Linked DNA regions of Drosophila melanogaster. The protein of the gene in region 3 interacts with the protein of the main gene of each other region in a pairwise test. Each region holds a gene or a part of one and is shown on either strand. Other genes may lie near its edges.

Region 1 (6,107 bases), on a different chromosome or scaffold from region 3:
TACTGCTAATATCCTTCCTGGTGATGGTCTGCTACCATGCTAGATTGGTGGAGGTAAGAGAAGGTGCGACCAATGCTTTCGACCCATCACTCATTCCGATTTCCCCAGGTAACCTCGCGTCTGGACTTCATATGGAAGGAACAAGCCGAGCGTGAACTGACCAACATGAAATCCAATCGCGCGCTTAATGACACATTAATTAAGGTAAGATATTTGGTCAAATACACAGGGCCAAAAAAGGGGATAATAACCATGAAATAGGAAGGGGAAAATGTAACCCAATTCTATTTTGGTCTACCTGCTCCTTCCTCTGCATTTTTCATTAATTAAACCATTTGATTGCAGAACATTCTGCCGGACCATGTAGCCACCTATTACCTATCCGACGAGCACACGGACGAGCTCTACTCCAAGATGCACAATCTCTGCGGCGTGATGTTCGCCTCCATTCCGAACTTCCAGGACTTTTACTCCGAGGACATCGACAATGGCAAGGCCTGTATACGTATTCTCAATGAGATTATCTGTGAGTTGATTGATTAAGCATTGTCTCCCGGTTGCAAATGTCTAATGATGCCGCACGGCACAAATCAAACCAGGTGACTTTGATGAATTGCTGGAGGAGCCACGATTCGCATCGGTGGAGAAAATCAAAACAGTGGGTGCCACGTATATGGCGGCAGCGGGATTAAATCACGAGCATCTCAGACTTCGCGGCGAGACCTCCGAGGATAGTGTCTGCGACCTGGTGGAGTTCGCATTTGCCATGAAGCAAAAGCTGGAGGAGATCAATGGGGATGCCTTCAATAACTTCCAGCTGCGTGTGGGCATCTGCAGTGGTCCTTTGGTAAGTGGAGTGATTGGAGCCAGGAAACCGGTCTACGATATCTGGGGCAATACGGTCAATGTGGCATCACGAATGGACTCCACGGGCGAGAACTGGCGAGTTCAGGTTCCGGAGAATACGGCGGAATTGCTTTGCTCCAGGGGTTACACGTGTGTGGTAAGTGGGTCTTTTGTTACCTATCCCGAATTCTTATACGTTTTTTCAAAATCCCACAGAAACGTGGTGAAATCGCTGTGAAGGGCAAGGGCATGATGACCACCTTTTATGTGCATCCCAAGGGAATATCGGAGAGCCAGCTGATCTCACCGGTTCGCATGCCAGCCGGGATTCCCCTGGCCCAAACCCCGAATCTTCAGCGGCAGACCTCCCATCATGGATCCTTCAGTGCCGTGGTTTTCGGAATGCTTCAGGCTAGCAAACGCAGCACAGCCATTGCCGGAACACGTAAGTGTTCCTTTCGGGTAACTTAAAATTCTTATAACATTAATTTGATTCTAATGCTTAAGCCACGGGCACTCCTTCGCCGCAAATCCGTCGAGGACATCGGGGAAGCACGTTCAGCTCGGTCCGGTTATCCCAAAAGTCCACCACGGTCAATCCTGTGCGCCGGAATACAACCCGTGTTCGGGGACGTTCATATCGACAGAAAAAGGTACAATACGTAGTGTTTCAAAAATTATTATATATCAAATAGTATTTAAGTTGTTCATATGATTCTGTTTAATTAGAAAGAGTATTTTCTAGAACCTATCTTATATAATGATATATTTTTCCTATTCAATATTTTAGAGTTCCTCCAACAACTCGATCGTCACGCAGGCCAGCTCTAGCTATATGCCCTCGTTCCGACGGATCGACCAGATCGAGACGACGATATCGAAGAGCCACAACGATGCGTTATAGCCGAGTACGCGCACTCACTGGGTCTAAGTCGATCTCAAGGCGATAGAGTGTCTGATGAATTTATTTTTGGAACGATTTTATACAAATGGAGTTACGCCGGCATATGTTTCAAAGTTTGGCTTAACACTGAAATGAAATGGTGGAGAACGACACTGAAGCTACTTAGTAGAATTTTTAAATCACCATACTTGAAGTTGCAAGAATTACATTTATCTCAGCACAATTCTAGTCGTTAAACTTAAGAACTGTCGTTTATATGTGTGCGTTTCAAATCTGTTTAGAGTAAGATATTTGGATCTTCCCACAAAAGCCAACCATACGAAATGCCAATGAACCTACTAGCTTCGTTCAATTCAACCATAATGTGTACCAACTAGTTTTCTAGTACTAATAGTCAATTTAACAGCCAGTAATCAATTAGAAAACCAAATATTAGTTGTACAAACCGTTTCTTTTGATCAAAGAGCGGAAATGTAAATAAAGTAAGCATACTTATGTATAAAATATTTTACGACCATCTAAATGTAATGAGGTCAAGTGTTACTGAAATGTGAAATGGATTTTGGCAAATAAAAGGTGTATTACTATACAGCCAGCACTTATTTAGCACTTTAATTGTAATTATACAATTCGTTATAAATAAATGTGATAAGCAAAACTAACAAATGGTAGAACTTAATGGTTTTTGGAATATACGTCAAGTTATCATTCAAATGAATTATAAACAGTCGTTTTCTTAACTATTGTATGACACTTTCTTTTTTTAGTGGCCCATTATAACAAAAACTCGAATGTGGAATGTATTTAATAGTGTAGGATTTGTTATGTAATGAACGTGGATTAATAATTTGTTAAGACGGTTAACTAAATATATAAATCATAAATAACCATTAGTTGAGATACGGTCACACTTTGGCGCCAAACCAATACAACAGTTGCCATTCGATTTTAGCTATAGCAGCTGGCAGCACTGCCAATAAGTGCCAGCGATACATGCTTGCTGTTATCGATCAAATATAGAGTAGGAAGCCAATCGATTTTACCAGCGCCATAATCGATGATGGCATCGATGTTTCACCACCACTAGTCGAAACACATGCGGTGCTGCGGAAAAGTGTGATTATTAATTGGATTTCGACGTTTTGAAGGCAGCGGATCGCCAAATTTTGAGTAACGTGAATCCACAGGAGTGGCGGTGAATGCCCATTAACCAGCGGACCTGACCAGAGATGACGAGCGGTACGGTAGCAACGGCGGTGGAGGTGCAGCTGCCGCTCAAGGTCGTTCGCCGTAAAATCGAGCGCGTTGGCTTCGCTTACTTTGCGCAACGGCGCCAATTTCTAGCTCCCGGCGGCGTGGAGCGCAGCGAAAGCGATGAGAAATTGGAGGGCGTGGGCGAGGAGGTGGACATCAGCTACCTAAAGTCGCTGGATCCTAAGGAGTGGAAGGACCAGGATCATTACGCCGTTCTTGGCTTGGGCAAGCTCCGGTTAGTGCGACGGCAGCACGTGGTGTTCTTCCCATGTGTTCGTTTCTATCAATATTTAATGGGACTTCCCCAACTAATACTGTATTGTCTGACTAAATCACCCTTTAGATACGAGGCCAGCGAGGATGATGTTCGACGGGCTTACAGGCGCATGGTTCTGCTGCACCATCCCGATAAGCGGAAAGCCAAGGGCGAGGAAGTCATCCAGGACGATGATTACTTCACATGCATAACCAAAGCTTACGAGATACTGGGTGGGTGTCAAGAAAATGTCCTTGCTGATCCTTGGGTGTCCTTCGGACTTCGCATTGCCCATGCAAATCGACAGATAAGAATATTTTGATATTAATTTTCAGAGCATTTGCTTAAGCTATATAAAATTATGATACCATACAATCCTGTTGAGTATAATAATCAATTAAGATTTTAAATTATCTGAAACTAATTTATACTCGATCTAATTCATTGGTGTGCTGTTGCCTTTGTCTAAGCGCGCAGAACTTGAAGCTTTATTTTTGCATATCTAAAAATAGGACTAGTTGTTTGCTCTCACATTCTTTTAAACAAAATGCCAAATTATAACTTACTATTATACAACAGAATTTTTTTGGCTTTAAACACTTTGAATAATTGTAAACAATTGTACGAAATAGACAGGAAGATTTTAAACTATTTCCTCTTAAACCATCTAATACTCCATCTTGTATTCCAGGCACATCCAAGCCGCGCCGCAGCTTTGACTCAGTGGATCCCGAGTTTGACGACTCGCTGCCCTCACAGAACGACATCGATAACGACTACTTTGGCGTATTTAACAAATTTTTCACACTTAACGGGCGCTGGAGCGAAAAGCCGCATGTTCCCTCCTTCGGGCAGGTGGACGCCAAACGCGAAGAGGTGGAGCGCTTCTACAACTTCTGGTACGATTTTAAGTCATGGCGGGAATTCAGCTACTTGGACGAAGAGGACAAGGAGAAGGGCCAGGACCGCGACGAACGTCGCTGGATCGAAAAGGAGAACAGGGCGGCTCGAATCAAGCGCAAGAAGGAGGAAATGTCTCGTATCCGGTCGCTCGTCGATTTAGCCTACAACAATGATAAGCGCATTCAGCGCTTCAAGCAGGAGGAAAAGGATCGCAAGGCTGCTGCCAAGCGAGCCAAGATGGACGCCGCCCAGGCCCAGAAGGCAGAAGCTGATCGTGCCATCCGTGAAGCGGCTTTGGCCAAGGAGAAGGCTGAAAAGGCCGAGCAGAAACGCATCGAGCAGATCCGCATCGAACGCGAGCAGCAGAAAAAGCTGCTTAAGAAGGAGCGCAAAACGCTGCGCGACAAGGTCAAGGACTGCAAGTATTATGCCAAGAACGACAAGGATCAGCTGAAGCACATGGAGGGCACCGAGAAGATTTGCGAGACCTTCAATCTGGCAGAGCTGCAAGCTCTAAATAAGGCAATGGAAAGCAAGGGCCGTGAGTCGTTTGTTGCTGCCCTTCAAACGGCCGAGCAGAAGATAGCTGCCGAGTTGGAGGAGATTAACCAGACACAGGCCAAGAAGCTTGCCAGCTCAGCGGCCACGCCAAAAGGCGTTAAGGAGGTCAAGAAGAATGAGCTCTGGAGCAATGAGAACGTGCAGTTGCTTATCAAGGCGGTTAATCTGTTTCCCGCTGGCACTGCACAGCGTTGGGATGTCATAGCCACTTTCATTAACCAGCATAGCCCGGATAACACTGTTCTGGTCAATGCCAGGGATGTGCTCAACAAAGCCAAGGCGCTCCAGAACACAGATCACTCGAAGAGCTCCCTGAAGACTCAAGCCAACGATGCGGCATTTGCCAGTTTCGAGAAGTCCAAGAAAGATGTTCAGACGTGTAAGGATATAACCCTGGGCGAGGAGACGGCCCAGGCGAGCAAGGAGAACTTGAAACAAAACGGTGTAGATCATAAGGCGAACAATCAGTCAACCAAGCAGAATGGCACGGCTCCAGCTCCAGCAAACCCCACGGCTGCACCAGCCCCAGTTCCGGCCACAAATGGGTCTACGGGCGGCGGTGCTGCCTCCAAAACCTGGACCAAGGAGGAGCAAGCCCTGCTCGAACAGGCCATTAAAACCTATCCAACGACGACACCCGATCGCTGGGATTGCATCGCCGCCTGCATACCGAATCGCAGTAAAAAGGACTGCTTACGTCGCGTCAAAGAGCTGGTCGAGCTGGTTAACTCCAAGAAGGAGGCACAGGCGGCGGTCAAATGAGTGCGGCTCCTGCTCCACTTTACCTGCCTCTCGTCCGCCTCATCCACTTCTAGCTGCTGTGTCCCATATAAATTTTATTTAAATAAAACATAAAAAGTTTTTGAACGTTTAGCGAAAAGTTACATCCAAAGATTCTCCATTTTGACTAGCTAGTTTCCAACGGTATATGCAGATCAACAAATATAATCTGTGCGGGAGGGTAATCTGCTCAGGTCTGCTCGGCCACACTGCGTCCGCCGCTCAGTTTTAAATCGAAGGCTTGCGGATTGGCTAAGGGATCCAAGTCGGCGAAAAGATCCAGCCAGGGATTGTTGGTGGTCTGCGATTTGCTGGGAACCGGGGTGGCGCCACCTGCACTTGCCTTCGAGTCCGTGGCTACTTGGCTCGGTATGGGTTGCTGATTCTGCTGGCTAAACAAGCGGGACCATAGCTTGTTAGTGCTATTTTGGGCAGGTATATCTTCATCCAGCGGCGCATCTATTAGAGGACTGTCCTCCAGCTGCTTGGAAAGCTCAATAAGCAAGGATTCATTGTCGCCGCAGGCATTGGGAGGTGCACTTGGTTTGTCCTCTTCGGACTCCTTGATTTCCGGCTGGGTTTCCAGCTTGTCCTGGTACTCGT
Region 2 (5,596 bases), on a different chromosome or scaffold from region 3:
ATAATTTCATATCATTTTATTGTATGAAATGAACTTCTAGAGCTAGCTGGAAAATAGCCAGTTTCACAGCTCTGATCCTAGGACTCCAAATTCGAGACTGAGAAATGGAGTTTGGAATGATTGTGGCAGTTCCGGTTTTGGGTCGCCATCGCCCCCATGGGACTTGACACAGGCCATCTCAAGGGGTTAGAGTCTAGGGGTTAGGGGTTAGAACCAGATGTTAGCCGCCCGCTTATTGATGCGATCGCATTCATTATCCCAGAATGAACTGGCTCAAACACGTGCCCCCTAACGATTAGAAACTCATTAAATATATGGTAATGAGCTGAGTTTGCTTCCAAGAACATGAACTACACTTGTCAGATGTCAGAGGTTGTGGATCCATGGGGAGATGTCCACGCCCAAAGGGAGCAAATGTCAACTGATCTACAGTGAGAAACCTAGCATATTACAACAAAAAGTAGAACATACTATTCAAAGGATAAAATGCAAAGGGTTTTGGAGGTTTTAATTATACTCAAAGCCTATTTAGTGCAACTTTTTTAAGCTCGCCGAGCAATGCCCAAAATGACTGCAAATGCGCTTAATGAATGTTCCGCATCAGCGGTCGGGGATGTGATTTAATTAAAGAACTCAGGGGAAACGACGCCACACAATCAAGCCGAGGCAGTGAAGCGTTTTCCCAAACCCGAACCGCAATCATCGGTATCCACGGGAGGAAGCTACTGGTCGGGCTTTCAGATCAGTCCCCGCCGCATCCTCCCGCAGTCGCTGCTCCTGGGCACCTACTCCCATACCATATAGACTCTTCCATTAAGGCATGTACACATTGACGCGACGTTTTCCTCCTCGGATCTCAAGTGTTTGCCTGCCTTTCGTGGCCATCGTCTGCGCCTTTTGTTTTACTGCCCCTTCTGTGATTTTAACATCTTGCACTTGCGGCCCGCGTCTGGTGGGCTTTTCATGTTTAGCTACCGAAGTAGATGGCTACCGGTGGCCGTTAGTCACGCATTTCTGCACCTCTGGTCCAGAGTCTGGGTTTTGGTTTGGGTTCGGGCATGAGCATGGGTCTGCATCGGCGTCTATATCTTTTTCGACGTCTCCTAGTGAGCAAACAATGCTGGCGTACAAACAGAATGTCAAAACATCGAAAGCATGTCATTAATGGACCAAAAGTGCGGGACCTCCTAGCCGACTTATAACTTCTTTTCAGCTCGGACAAGTGGAAAAATATATATTCGTGTATGTCCTTTTGATACTTTGCCATAAAGAGGCTCAAGCAAACAAATAAATACTTGAAACTAAGTGGGGAATACCATTATAAAAGATTACCCATAGTCAGTCACACTTGTATGTCACTCATAGAAATTGAAAACTATTGGCAAATTATTTCAAAAGATGATCTAAGCAATTCGAAATTTGTAAAAGTAAATCGACGCATGCCAAATTATTCGATTGCGCACATGTTTGTCAACAACTGAGAGAACTGATCAAATCTTTACACACTTGTGTAGCGTAGTTTTCGGCCATAAGGCCATGTCTTGCACTCGCATTTTGCTTTTGGCCCAAAGCACATGGACAAACAGAGACACGGACACTTGGAGCCAAAAGTGAAGACCGCACGACAAAGGCAGAAACATTACAACGATCATTAGTTAAATTAGGAGCCTTGGCTCCGGAGTTTGGGATTGGGATTGGGGTTATGGGTTTTGGATTTTCGGTTTAGGGTTTTGGGTTTTGGAATCGGGTACGTGTGCGGACGTCGGCGACATCATCGAAAGTCAAACAAGTGCCGCGGCTACCGCGAGGCTGTCGATCATGCGCCAAGCGACGGCAGCCTTTTGAAACGAAAATCAAAAGCAAACATCTGCCTCTTGATGTTGCCCAAAAAAAAAAAAAAAAAAAAAAAGAAGTTGGTCCAGCGAGCGATTGTGTTTATCCCAAGCAGTTAGGGGATCCGGATAAGGACTTGGCTGGAGGATCGGACAAGAGGGCTTTATTGGCAAAACACTCGAGTGGCGGGCTTAAGTTAAGAGATTTAAGTGAAAATATAGTGCTACTTTTGAATTTGTCTTTTCGTTACCTTATATTTTAAGATAGAGAGGGAAATGTGATTTCAAAAGTCTTATCAATATTTCCTGCAATATACATATTCTTGTTTTTCTGATTATATTAACCCAAATCTATCAATAAAATAGCTACTACGCTTTTTAAAGAAACCCAATGCCGTCGGCACCTCAAAAATGCCGATAGATCTAAAAATTTTAATTTGGAAATGAATTCTGAGGCCTATATCTTTGTGAGTCATGGATTGAGACATACCTGGGTCCATTTCGGCCGATGGCAATTGATTGAAGAACTCCAGAATTGCAATTGTGGGCACCCAAATCTGCCTTTCGCCAACTCCGCCGTGGAACTTTCTCCGATTGGATTCGCCGGAATAGTTGGACTCTGCTTTGCTGGGGATTGTCGGTGGTTACCTAGTCGTTAACTTTTCGCACTTGGCTATAATGTGAGTTTCAATTAAGGCATGAAATTTGTATACAAATTGGCGCCAGTTGTGCGGGACAGCATCGGGCTGCGATGCCTACTATGCCGTGAACCAAGACTGAGATCTGATTAGCACATTTTCGGGCCAAAACGATCGCTCTCGAGTAGGTTGGCTCGAAAATTATCACGCACTTATCACACCTTATTGGGGAAGCGGGAACTACACACACTTAATGACACTACAATGGGTTTGTTATGCTTTGATTTTGGGAATTATGTCGGTTTACTTTGGACTTGACTGGCGGACCTCCCGTGCGATTGATGGTTTGCAAATGAACCGATTTAAACAGCATTCACTGATCCGTGCGCGCGCCTTTAAATCTTTCGATGGCCTTTTTGCTCTAGCGTATCGGGTCGTAGCGTATCGGTTGGGAACGGTTTGGATCGGGAAAACCTGGCGCGCTCTCCAAAAACGATCGTTGCTGCTCGTCACCCGTGTCTGCTGCGACTAACGCTGCCCGCGGCGCTGCCGATCAAGATCGCCCACAATCCACGTCCACGCACACATTGAATATCACCACCACAGCCACAGTCACATCCACATCTACAGGCTCAAGTGGAAGTGGAAGCCACCGCGTCGACGCAGCATCCCAAGATCTCGCTCTCTCTTTTTCTCACTCTCCGCATTCTCCTCCGCAAGCACACACACACTCATCCGTGAGAGGAAGGGGCGGTCGGTCGAGCGTATATGTGGGTTTTAATGGCGATGATCGCGCACTGGTGTGCGTTTGTTGGTGGACCGCGGGCAAATAATAAAAATGAAGAATGTCTTTCAGCGATCAGGAGCGCAGGCAGCGAATTGAGGGTAAGCCCAGAAGAGTTAAGGCGCCAGTAACTTTGGTATCGAAATATCTTGTAAGTGTTTAAAGTAAAGGGTTCATATAAATTAAATATTTTAATAAAGAGATCGAATTCAGAAGTTTAGAAGAAGGTTTTTAAGACTTTATTACATCAAGTTATACACAATAATCTATACAATTTTTTTATTATTTATCATAACATATTTCCGTTTTCTTGCTGATGGATAATAAACTAAGCTAACAACCCATCTCTCCTTTTTTCCCCAGTTACCGCTCCTGTAGTCGCTCAACTTTGTGTTTGTGTGCCAACGGATGTGTGGGTGTATCCATGGATCGGAATTCGTACTCTCGCTCTCTCTCCGCTGCAATACCTACACAGACGAACCGAACCGAGTGAGTGAGCATACGCAACCGGGCGGAGTTAATTTCTGAATGCTTGAATGGCCAATCTGAAGCAAGTAAGCGTATCCGTAGCGTTACGCAGGGTGGGCGAGCGATGTCATGACTTCTTAGTGTCACACAGATGAGGAGCAGACGAAAAAGGAGCCGAGGGAGAAGGATAGAAGGAGAGAAACGGAAGGAAAAGGAAAGGGGCGGGGCTGTGGGAATTCTCGGAGCGCGTGCATCTATTTTTGGTTCATTAAGAAAGCCATATCGCTAATAAAGCGGCACAGACAGCTAACCCCGTAGATCCCCAGGGATCCACCTCCCGGCCAATGCGGCGTATGCGTGATGCCAACTCTCGCTGAGGCGTTGCGTCTTGCTTGGTTAGAGTTAATTATAAGAAATGCCGTCTTCATCTGATTGTCACTAATTCTGAATACCGCCATTTAATGATAGATGCCAATTGTCGTTGTCATTCCCTCATTAAAATGGTCAAATCGCCGCTCTTGCTATTCTTAATGTTGTGCTCGCTCTCTTCGCTGGCTGTTTAGCATGGCTGTGTGTGCACTTAGTGCGCGTGTGTGTGTGTTTTGGCCCACACACACTGTTGCGCGTTGGACACACCTCCTTGAGTTGGCTTACGCTTACCTGCTCATACCTTTTGTTGCGAATCCAATTGGCCCTCTCCCTGTCACTTTCTGATTTCTGCTCATTGCCGACTGCATTTCCCTGCATTTTGTGGTTTGACGAACGCCATTTCCGACATTGCCTTTGTTTTAAAACAAATAATTCTTATAGTTACAATGTACTTTAAAAAATTTAAACTAAACTCTCCTAATACAATTCATTATTGTTAAATTACTTGTCTTTTTAATTTTTTATAATTTTTATATAAATTTTAAAAACATTTAAAATGTATCTATTACATTGGCATTTTGATTTTGTAATAAACATAAATACATATTATTTAAATAATATTGTAAAAACAATGCATTTTCTTGTTCAGTTTTCTACTTACTTTTAAGAACGAAATGATTAAAGGGAAACACAAAATCATCATAGAGTAAACAATTTTTTTCTTTTTATTTAGTAATACTAGATAGATAATAATAGATCAAGTTGAAGAGCTTTATTTAATCATTAAAAACAATTAAGTAAATCTTTTAATAAAATAATCCAAACGCTAAGAAGTAAATCTCCGATACGTAATGGATCGACTTACAAAATAATTGGCCATATGCGAAAACCAAGAATTCTTCCCCGGCGGCCAAAGCTTCAATTTGATGACTAAAGCATTGGGGATAAAGAATTGGGGGAGCTGATGACAAAATTGTCTCCGCGTTTAACAAATTGGGTGACAGGCTTTGAAGTCGCCGGCAGCCAGCGACAAATGACAAGCATAACAAATGAACACTGTGCGTTTTCCGCTTATTTTTTTCTCCTTCACGGATACTTTCCAGTTGTATCTTCCTGTGTTATAAAACAAGCGGGAGTGGAAGGAGTCGATGTGGAATCTGCCAGGCACTTGAGAAAACAAAGGAGCTAACACCAGGGACTTGGGAAAAGGAGTCCAAGTACCAGGAGCAGCATCGTATGTCATAAAGTGGCAAATGCGCTATTAAATTGACACATATAAGTCAGAGGAGGAGGACAAGTTACATAAGATTGCGCCAGATGGGCGGGGACTATGCACTGGGAAAAAACACTTTGGAATTATAGATACAGAAGTTTGGATATATGTTTTGAAAAGAATTTAACTTATAAAGTACACCTTATTAATTGTTATCAATACATTTTTTCATTTATTATTCGTATAAAATTATCATATTGCACAGTCCTTTAACAATGGAAATCGCCGCTTT
Region 3 (9,232 bases):
CCAAGAACAAGTGCGGCGGCGTCCTAATCACCAGCCGCTACGTCATCACCGCCGCCCATTGTCAGCCTGGGTAAGCTATTACTCAAACTTATGGTTTTGGTGGGCTTAATTCAGGGATTTCATTTGAATCCTCCGCAGATTCCTGGCCTCTCTGGTGGCTGTTATGGGCGAGTTTGACATTTCCGGCGACCTGGAGAGCAAGCGTTCAGTGACCAAGAATGTCAAGCGCGTCATTGTCCACCGGCAGTACGATCCAGCCACGTTTGAAAACGATCTGGCCCTGCTGGAACTGGACAGTCCAGTGCAATTCGATACCCATATAGGTGAGTTTCATATCATATACATATGTATACTTTAGTAAGGGCTAATCTATTCCTCTTTTCGCCAACAGTGCCCATTTGCATGCCCAATGATGTGGCGGACTTCACTGGACGCATGGCGACAGTGACGGGATGGGGACGCCTTAAGTACGGAGGTGGAGTTCCCTCCGTTCTCCAGGAGGTGCAGGTAAGCACGCAGTGAACAGAGTGTCCTTTAAATTGCGAACTGACCCGGGGCTAATTTAAATTAGGTGCCGATTATCGAGAACAGCGTTTGCCAGGAGATGTTCCACACCGCTGGACACAACAAGAAGATTCTCACCTCCTTCCTGTGCGCCGGCTATGCCAACGGACAAAAGGACTCGTGCGAGGTAAGCTCGGTGAACTCTTTTCTTTTGAAAATGTACCCTAATCCGTCTCACTATCCGACAGGGCGACAGTGGCGGTCCGCTGGTGCTGCAACGACCGGATGGACGCTACGAGTTGGCCGGAACCGTTTCCCACGGCATCAAGTGTGCGGCGCCGTATCTGCCAGGTGTCTATATGCGCACCACCTTCTACAAGCCGTGGCTGCGCAGCATAACGGGCGTGAAATAGGTAGTCGCCTCCACAGTTTTCAAGTTTCTCCCCATCCCAGAGATGGCCAGCGCCAACTAACTGCTGAGGCAGGAGCACCAAGTGTAAATAGAACGTAGAGTTTTAAGAGTCGCGGCTAGAAGCGTGGGAAAGTTGGCTCATCCTTTGCGACGTCGCATCTTCGGACCCCTTCCTCGAACCCCCTCCATGCTACCATCATTTCATTAGCTTAATAGAAAATCAACTGCAGCATTTCAAACGACATTCGCCGGGTATTTCCACATTCCGAGTTAGCGACATTTCGCTTGAGGATGACTGCAGATTTCGTTTTTTTGAGTACGCGTGCCTAACACTTGTAGAGTCTGAATGAGAATTACGCTGATTGCAAAACGTAGGGATAAGACATATTTATTCTAGTTCTAAGCCTATTTATTTGACTATTTATTTATTTATGTGACGTGACGTGAGGAAGCGCGACGATTTGTGCGTTTGATTCAACTAAAAAAATTGTTATCTTCATAGGCAAATTGTTGTTATGTTCAAATGAGAGCGAGAGCAAATGTTTTTAGTTCAATTGAATTTACTAATTTATCGATTTATATTATTAATTCTTTTATCTAAATATGTTAATTGTTAAGTGAACGAACCAATCGAAAAAAAATCGAAATAAACGACATACATTTTAGTAAAAACAAACAAAGGGGTTGCATTTGTAAACTATGATTTCAGAATTTTCTCCAGTAGCTAGCCTTAAAAGTAACTAAAGGTTAAACTTTTATGTATGTATTTTAGCATTGAATGTCAGCTTTACAAAACTCAAAGAGCGGTGGAATTCTTGACATAAACTGAGCTGTAGCCTTGATGCAATTTCCGCCACGCGAGCTTGCTCTCCTTTTTTTGAAAGTTGCCACTTCAGTCAGCCCTAGCTTTTCCCCATTGGGAATATTGTATGTGGTTGCGCCTGGGAGCTTCTGTTTCAGCTTCTCCAGATGTCAATGCTGCTGCTAAATCGACACTAAAGCCACAATCCTTTGGCACCATCTTCATTATTCTATTTAATCACACAGAATTGTTAGCATTTTACCAGCTATTTATTCCATAATTTGTGTCCCTAAATATTATATCATGTGTGAGTAATTCACTGTTAAGAGATAAATCTTTATATTATATGTAGTCCCTGACCAATAACGTATATTTTAAAAACTAAACTGAAAACCAGTCTTTGAGCAATAACTTTTATTCTATTTGAAATAAAATCTAAGTTAACTAAAGATGTTGTTAACATTCAATACAGATCATTCTCATCTCGTGCAGCACTAAACATAATTTACTGGCAAATAAACGTAAATTAATTATACAAAGTACACACAAGTGCAACGCTATTTCCACTCCACGTGGCCAAAATCATTTCCTCATCGAACATTCAGAGCGAAGAGTGAGTGGCATGAGCATACAGCTCTCATTATCCTGATGCACGGAATGTCCTGGAGGGCAGACTCTTTTTATCTCGTTGGGGCAAGCAAATTGCGTGTTTTCCATTTAACAGATTTGCCTGCAGGACAGCCACTCCGAATCAAGGATCCCATTTTGGTAACAAGAGGAGGCTCATTAATTTTGCACCGCTGCCACAAATCACAGTGACGTCATGGCCGAAACTCCCGCAGCCAAAACTCAAAACACACATACACGGGGTATGGTGCGGGCGGAGGGGAGACTCCATTAAAACTGAATCCTAGGAGCTTTGACTGCGCCACAAACACACTTAATTCATAAAAATCCAACTAAAAGCTTCGTAGCCAAAAAGCTCCTTTCCGGCAGCTAGCCGACAGGTGTTGTTTGAGCCATTTCAGACATTCAGTAGCCGACAGGACGCCCAGCCAGCAGGTATGTTGTGCGCCATAAGGACCCCATCCCTCCACCCCGTTCGCGTGCGGCGAAAGTGAAAGTTGACACGTGTATTGGTATAACCAACTCCTTCCTGCCCATGGAATGGCGCAGGACAACTGTGCACCTGCACTTTAAGTGCATCCACGGGCGTGTCGCAGTCAACTACGGCAAATCATGGTCTAATTTCCACCGCGAACCGTTTTTTCGCACTTTAAAGTGGGTCGAGCGTAGGTGGAATTGAGTGGTTGAGTTCAGGCTAAAGCGTAGATATGGAACTGGATATGCCACAAAATGGAATGCCATTACCGGCACAGTGCGTTAGTTAGAGCTAATTCGGCTGGGATTTGATCCCTTTCATTTGATCATTTTTATCTGGTATGGCGTAAAGTGGTGCTTTGTCGAGTTGAATTGCTTTCCACTAAACTTGTTGCTTTTAAATACGATTGCTTAAGCAGGTATAAGAAATGTTGATTTGTCCGTGGAGATCATGCATATAAGTTTTTTTTTAGCACACTTCAGAACCTTGGCAATCCCAAGGTTATTCGCATCTTATATATGTACATCTTGTATACTTAACAAAACTGATGCATTCCCAAGAGAAGACTTTATGATCAGAAACAACGAATCTAGTATTTCTTTGATATCCTTAGTAATACATTTTGCAAATTTTAACTTGTCAGCTATATAATATAGTGGTCCAATTCTGTCCTTTCCGACTTATATTCTGCAATAGAAATGCGACGCATGACAGACATGCCAACTTCATCGCTTCAATATGAATGATTACTTATTCCAACTTTTAATAGTTCCCATGATCTAATAGTTCATACGGACAGACAGACATACAGATGGATATATAAACAATTGTATATTTCATGGCATCTGGTGTACCTTCTGATTATATTCCCTTCTAAGAAATACATTAGCCCTTTCAATAGAATATTTATCGCAATGATCACAGCAAAGGATCTTATTTGTAAGGGCCAAGGTTCGCAGCAAGCATAATTCTCGGAAAAGGTAAAGTTTATGCTCAATTAAGGAACTTTTATCGACTCATCGCCAAAGTGCTTCCAAACTAAAGCCACCTTCCAATCATTGGCAAAGTTTCGGAGAATTTGTAACTATAGAAGAAATACTAATTGCAAAACTTTCCAGTGGCCCAATGCAATTAGAAGTATTTAGCAGCGGATAAAGAAGTCACGTCGCAAGCATGAGCACTTTGGTAAATTAAAGGACGAAAGACACATGGATCAATTTCAATTTCCCTAACGGGTTAAAAAAACAGGACGCCCTTTTTGGGCTGAAACTCAATTAGTCAAGATTTAATAACAGGCTATGGATGACTCCTGTCCTCGGCAACCAAAAGGTCAAAATGCTTGGCAACAAACCCGCGAACTGGGACGACAAGAACTTTGACGAGCCGCGTCCAGTGAAAGTGTGAGAAAGTAATTATAAAAATGCTAAAGGAGAATCATAAAGGGACTCCGCGTTTGTTTAGTCAACCACATTGGCCTGAACCGCCTTCGAAGGCAGGAACATTAATGAAATTGCACTCCCACGCCGGATATTCGTGTGACAGCCGGAAAATATTTTCCCTGGCCTTCGGTGAACCCATTGCCTTTCACCCACTAACTTATTAATGGATGAGTGTTAACAACTGTTGTCAATCGACCGTCCAAAGAAGGTCTAAATCAAGCCAAAAGTATCAAGGTCGTCTGTGCAGCTACAAAGTGCCACCCCAATAAGTAGGCAATTATATATAACAATCTAGCTCGATTCTATTTTAAGGCCAAAATGATGCTATTTCAGTTGAGGGACGAACAGTTACCACTAAGTCGACTTAGTACGCATAACGTAACCCACATTAGAAGTTATTTAAAAGCTGTTTGAGACTGTTCATTCGTTTGCTAGAAGCTTTTGCATAAATTGTTTTAATTACTTTTCCTGGGGGAAGTCATCACGAAACTGAATACAATTAACAACATTTAGCAAATGAAAGGAAAATTCACTTTGAGCTTTCGTGTTCTCCCAGGCAGGCTCAACTTTCACATGTATTATAATTTCCTTTTAAAACTTGCAAATATGAATATTCTTTAAATGTGCATCTTTAATTGAGTTTAATGAAATACTTGAATAAGCTAAGTTTCCATTTCCTTTAATTTTTAACGATTCTTAACTTATACCTTCGGCATACATTAACGATTTTTGCTTATTTGGTTGATGGCTTATTAAGCTAACGTGCAAAAGTAGGCAATATGCTAAAATTGCATAATTTATTGTTACCCACCGACTTTATATGTGAGCCTTTCATCAGGCCATACAAATGGAGACACGAGAGTGAACCAAGTCTGAGAATACATAAATTAAGGCACAGCCGGTAATATAATAACGCTAAAAGCAAGCCGACAATTTTAATGAGCTGCCCGACGGGGATATTTGCCGGGAAAACGTTAATAGAACCGCTGATGCGATTCTGAGCTGGAAGACAGAGATTTATATGCCCCACGCTCCACTCGAGCGCTTGAACACGGAAGTTTGCTCCTCCCGGAGGTCAGCAATCGACTCCTGGGCGGGCATACGTTTTAATTAAGCGTGTACTCGGTTTCCATTTTCACAGTTCATCGGGAGAAGGAGAGCGGGCTTTCCACTAGTGATGATGTACTAACGTGACCACTATGAGCATTTTTCCGAGGTGGGCAGCCATGCTGCTGCTCCTGGGCCTGGCCCACCAGCTGGACCCCTCGCTCGCGGCGTCCGCATCCTCGTTCGCATCCGGAAACGCCTGGCAGCGCGCCCTATTTGGCCGGGAATCGCGCAACTTGATGCACCGCAGAGCCCCGTTTTCCGGAGCCGCTGATCTGGGCCTTGACGAATACCTGGGCCCCTATGGCGCCGTCGAGCAGGAGCAGCACCAGCCGCATCCTCCGCCGCAGCAGGTGAGTGCATGAGTGGAGGTTGTGATTGCAGGTATTTGCAGGACGAAACTACAGGGTATGTGTACAGTAAAACGGGATGATGGGCAATGTCTGCAGCTAGGAAAATGGATTCGTTTATCTAACGAAGTTTTTAAAGGAAGGCTGAAAAGCTATTTCGATTGTAAATTGTCTAAACCAACAGACAGGACAATTTTCAAGATTTAGTTTTATTTCAAGTAATTTTAATTTATTAGAAAAGCATGAAAAAAACTCTTTTACTTTCTGATTTAAAAACAATCTTTTGAGCATACGATTTTAAAATTCAAATGAATGTGTGCTCTTGAAAAATGGCAATCTTTTAATGCATGGAAAAAAGATTCCTGGCTTAAGCAGCTAGAGGCGACTCCCAAACTCAATAAAAATCGCACCACTCGAACACATCTGAAAACGCATACGCCGTGTGGGCGTGCCACAAATATCCGAAGGCGTCTGGCGCCGTGTTTTGCAGCAATTTGAAATTGGAACCCGTATGCTTGTATGGTTTTATTGGCCCACTGGATCAATGGTTTCAATCAACGGAAATTTCAGAGTTCGCGCTGAAACTCAAATTAATTAACGCGCAACGAGTGTCAGCGTTATTGATAGCCAACCAACTGCTGCAGCGCAGTAAGGGGATATACATATAGCGCATACGCACCGTGCGCCCAACAAATGCCACACTAATTGCCACCGCACTCGACCTTCCCCACAGATGCGCCAACAGACCGAAGTTTACGGAATCGTGGAGCCGCTGATTGAGGACACGCCCTGTGCCGACCGACCCTGCCTCCTCAACGACGATTGCTGTCCTTCCGGAGTTTGCGTCAGCACATACGGCGGTAAGTTGGTCTAATTGCACTTGGTCCGCTGTGACCCAACCCACTCACTTACACTTGGAATAGCTAATGCTGACAATAGCTAATGAGACAATACTTGGAATCATCCTAGACAAACAAAATTTTAAATATGGGATTAAAACATTTGAAAGAAAGTGGACACCAGACTGAAACTAGCATTAGGATCTACTTGGCTATTGACCTGGATCAAGAGCCTATTGTACTTTAAGGTGTTGGAAAGGTTTCTTTCTATCTATTGCACTATTTCCTTAAAAATAAGGATAAATTTTTTACATCAACTGATGCTATTCTACAACCCATTACAAAAATGTTATATAAACTCTATCATTTTGCAGAAGGCAAATGCGTATATGTCTTTGGGCGTCAGCGAGATCTGTGCCAGGGACATGCGGACTGTCCGCAGGGCAGCTCCTGCATGCTGGTCCCCCAGGAGGGAGCGTGGCGGTGTGAGCCGAGCGTGGAATCGGGAGGATCCACGTCGCTGCTGGAGGGTATATTCGGAGCGAAGGAGAGGCAACCGCTGGGCAGCGAGTGCAGCAGCAGCAGCGACTGCCAGGTGATCAAGTGAGTCCGCATAGCGCTGATAAGCCCAATTCAGGTCTAACTGTCCCACTTTCCAGCGGAATGTGCTGTCAACAGCAGCGTTTGCACCACCGGGCAGCCATTAAGCTGAGCTGTGGCTACTTTCGCGATGCCTTCGACTGTGTAGATATGGTCGGAGCAGAGGTATGGATATAGTCCAAAAACAAAAATACGAATTTGAGTTATATTATATTCCCGTACAGCATCGACGCAACTGAAGATCGCAGTTCTCGGGTAGCAAAGCTCATTAAACCGAAGGAAAGTAGCCAAACAGCAATTGAATTGGATTGAGTATGAATTACTTCAATATTGAAACATATCAAGTTGTTAAACAAATACATATCAAGGTCAAATTGCTATAGCTTAGAGCATTTGTATTTCTATAATCTGCATATGAATATTTGCTATTACTCAAACGATCTTAGACATCTAGATGTGTTTTTAGTAGAGACTCCAAATATACTGACTGAGGCATTCAATGTTAATAGCAGAAAGAAGAGTATTCCAATGCAGTTTTACCATACTTAAGCAACAATTAAATCGTTTCACGTCTAAATGTAAATCGAATACAATAAAAGCATTACCAAATATCTGCACTTTCACTGAAACTTATTTGGTAACAATATATTCGTATTTGAATGAGAGAAAGGTAAGTTAACGGATTTATTCTTGGGACTAATATATTATTAACTCTTAAAAATATATATATTAAATTGAGTTCAAACAAGTTCAAATTTTAGTAAAACAAAAACACAACTAGACGCACCTATAAACTAGTGACGAATGCACCTGAACAACATAGAAGACTTTTGATGTGGCGAAAGCACCAAGTCTTATGACCCAAAATAAACTTACATAATAAATTTTATGTTCTTGCCCAAGCAAACTTAATGAATTAATAGTTGAAAATACACCAGAAGATAGTGAATAAAAACCGCAGAAAATTCTTTACAAATATTTTCGGTTGATTTTATTTTTGTAATTTTATTTAAAGTGCCATTAAAAACGCAGCTTAAAGCTAAAAGTTAGACTCTGTTTACACTTTCAACGCTTTTGTTTTTAACATTACACCCAAGTAAATCATTCCTCCTTTCGTTCTTCAACTCTCTGACATTCTATATATCTCTCATGATCCAATCCATTCACGAATAATACACATTGCAAATGCTTTCGTCCCTAACTTTATGGCTGAGACACTTACTTCGCTTACTTGAGCCTAACATAAACCGCACAAGGTGCATCGTTTTAGTTCTTGAATTCTTGTAAATTTCGAACCAAAAGTGTGGTTTGCCAGCAAAATAGGATTTATTTTTAAAATTAATTTTTATATGTTTTTTGCGCATGTTCAAGTCTTTTGTTGATTTTATGTTCTTCGGTTTAAATTGAATCTTAAACTCAGTTTTTTTTTTAAGTTGTTTTTGGTTTGGATCAGGGACTAAGGTCGTGGGCTTTAGGAAGTGCCCCACTTCGGAGGTTGTATTGGGGGTTAGTCTTAAGAACAACTTTCGGCTTAAACTTAGCTTGGAACAGTCAAACAAATATCAAGTCCGCTATCCTTCGAAACTTGTCTCTCATTTTTTGTTTGACTCGCATGCACTGAATGCACAGATTATTTACAGATTTTACAATTACAGGAATAGTTTCAAAACCTAAATATACGTACGCGAATAGAGCTATAAATTTAGTTTAGATTTGTTTTCCAAAGAAATCGATTGTGTTCGTACAGGATGTGATTAACTTCAGTAAAGCTTAAATTAAATTAAAATAGGAAAGTAAATTTCGCAGACCGAAAAAATAACAATATGAAGGTACTATTTAATCATAACCCTAATTACAATCTTTCTCTTACTCTTAGCTTACATCGAAATGAATAAAATGTTAATTAATGTTTACTTTAATCTCTCAGCTGGCGTGTATTGATGGTCAAAGGAAACATGGGTTGTATTGAAACTACTATTGCATTCTGGTAATGGACTGTGTTTTCACATGTATACATTGATAATGGACTCATTTAGCTTTATGGCATTTGATGTGAGATTTAGTTGATTTATGATGT

Evidence for each region. The genes of interacting proteins can lie anywhere in the genome.
Region 1: the proteins of spab (region 3) and CG10565 interact in a two-hybrid assay, tested with the Drosophila melanogaster proteins (one large-scale study listed by BioGRID).
Region 2: the proteins of spab (region 3) and Poxm interact in a two-hybrid assay, tested with the Drosophila melanogaster proteins (one large-scale study listed by BioGRID).

The regions. Positions count from the first base shown.
Region 1 is NT_037436.4:21,132,750-21,138,856, reverse strand, and holds CG10565 (uncharacterized protein), read left to right. Parts: upstream 1-2,503; 5' UTR 2,504-2,979; coding exon 2,980-3,239; intron 3,240-3,347; coding exon 3,348-3,493; intron 3,494-3,951; coding exon 3,952-5,486; 3' UTR 5,487-5,607; downstream 5,608-6,107. Other genes in the region: Ac78C (adenylyl cyclase 78C), read left to right, coding at 1-53, 109-204, 346-526, 600-1,003, 1,063-1,291, 1,354-1,499, 1,637-1,750; ICA69 (islet cell autoantigen 69 kDa), read right to left, coding at 5,695-6,107.
Region 2 is NT_033777.3:8,330,793-8,336,388, forward strand, and holds the start of Poxm (Pox meso), read right to left. Parts: upstream 3,001-5,596; 5' UTR 2,333-3,000; coding exon 2,323-2,332; intron 1-2,322.
Region 3 is NT_033778.4:8,961,703-8,970,934, reverse strand, and holds spab (space blanket), read left to right. Parts: upstream 1-2,750; 5' UTR 2,751-2,780; intron 2,781-5,400; 5' UTR 5,401-5,458; coding exon 5,459-5,719; intron 5,720-6,449; coding exon 6,450-6,576; intron 6,577-6,929; coding exon 6,930-7,158; intron 7,159-7,214; coding exon 7,215-7,320; intron 7,321-7,379; coding exon 7,380-7,394; 3' UTR 7,395-7,771; downstream 7,772-9,232. Other genes in the region: flz (filzig), read left to right, coding at 1-70, 139-323, 392-507, 572-691, 753-917.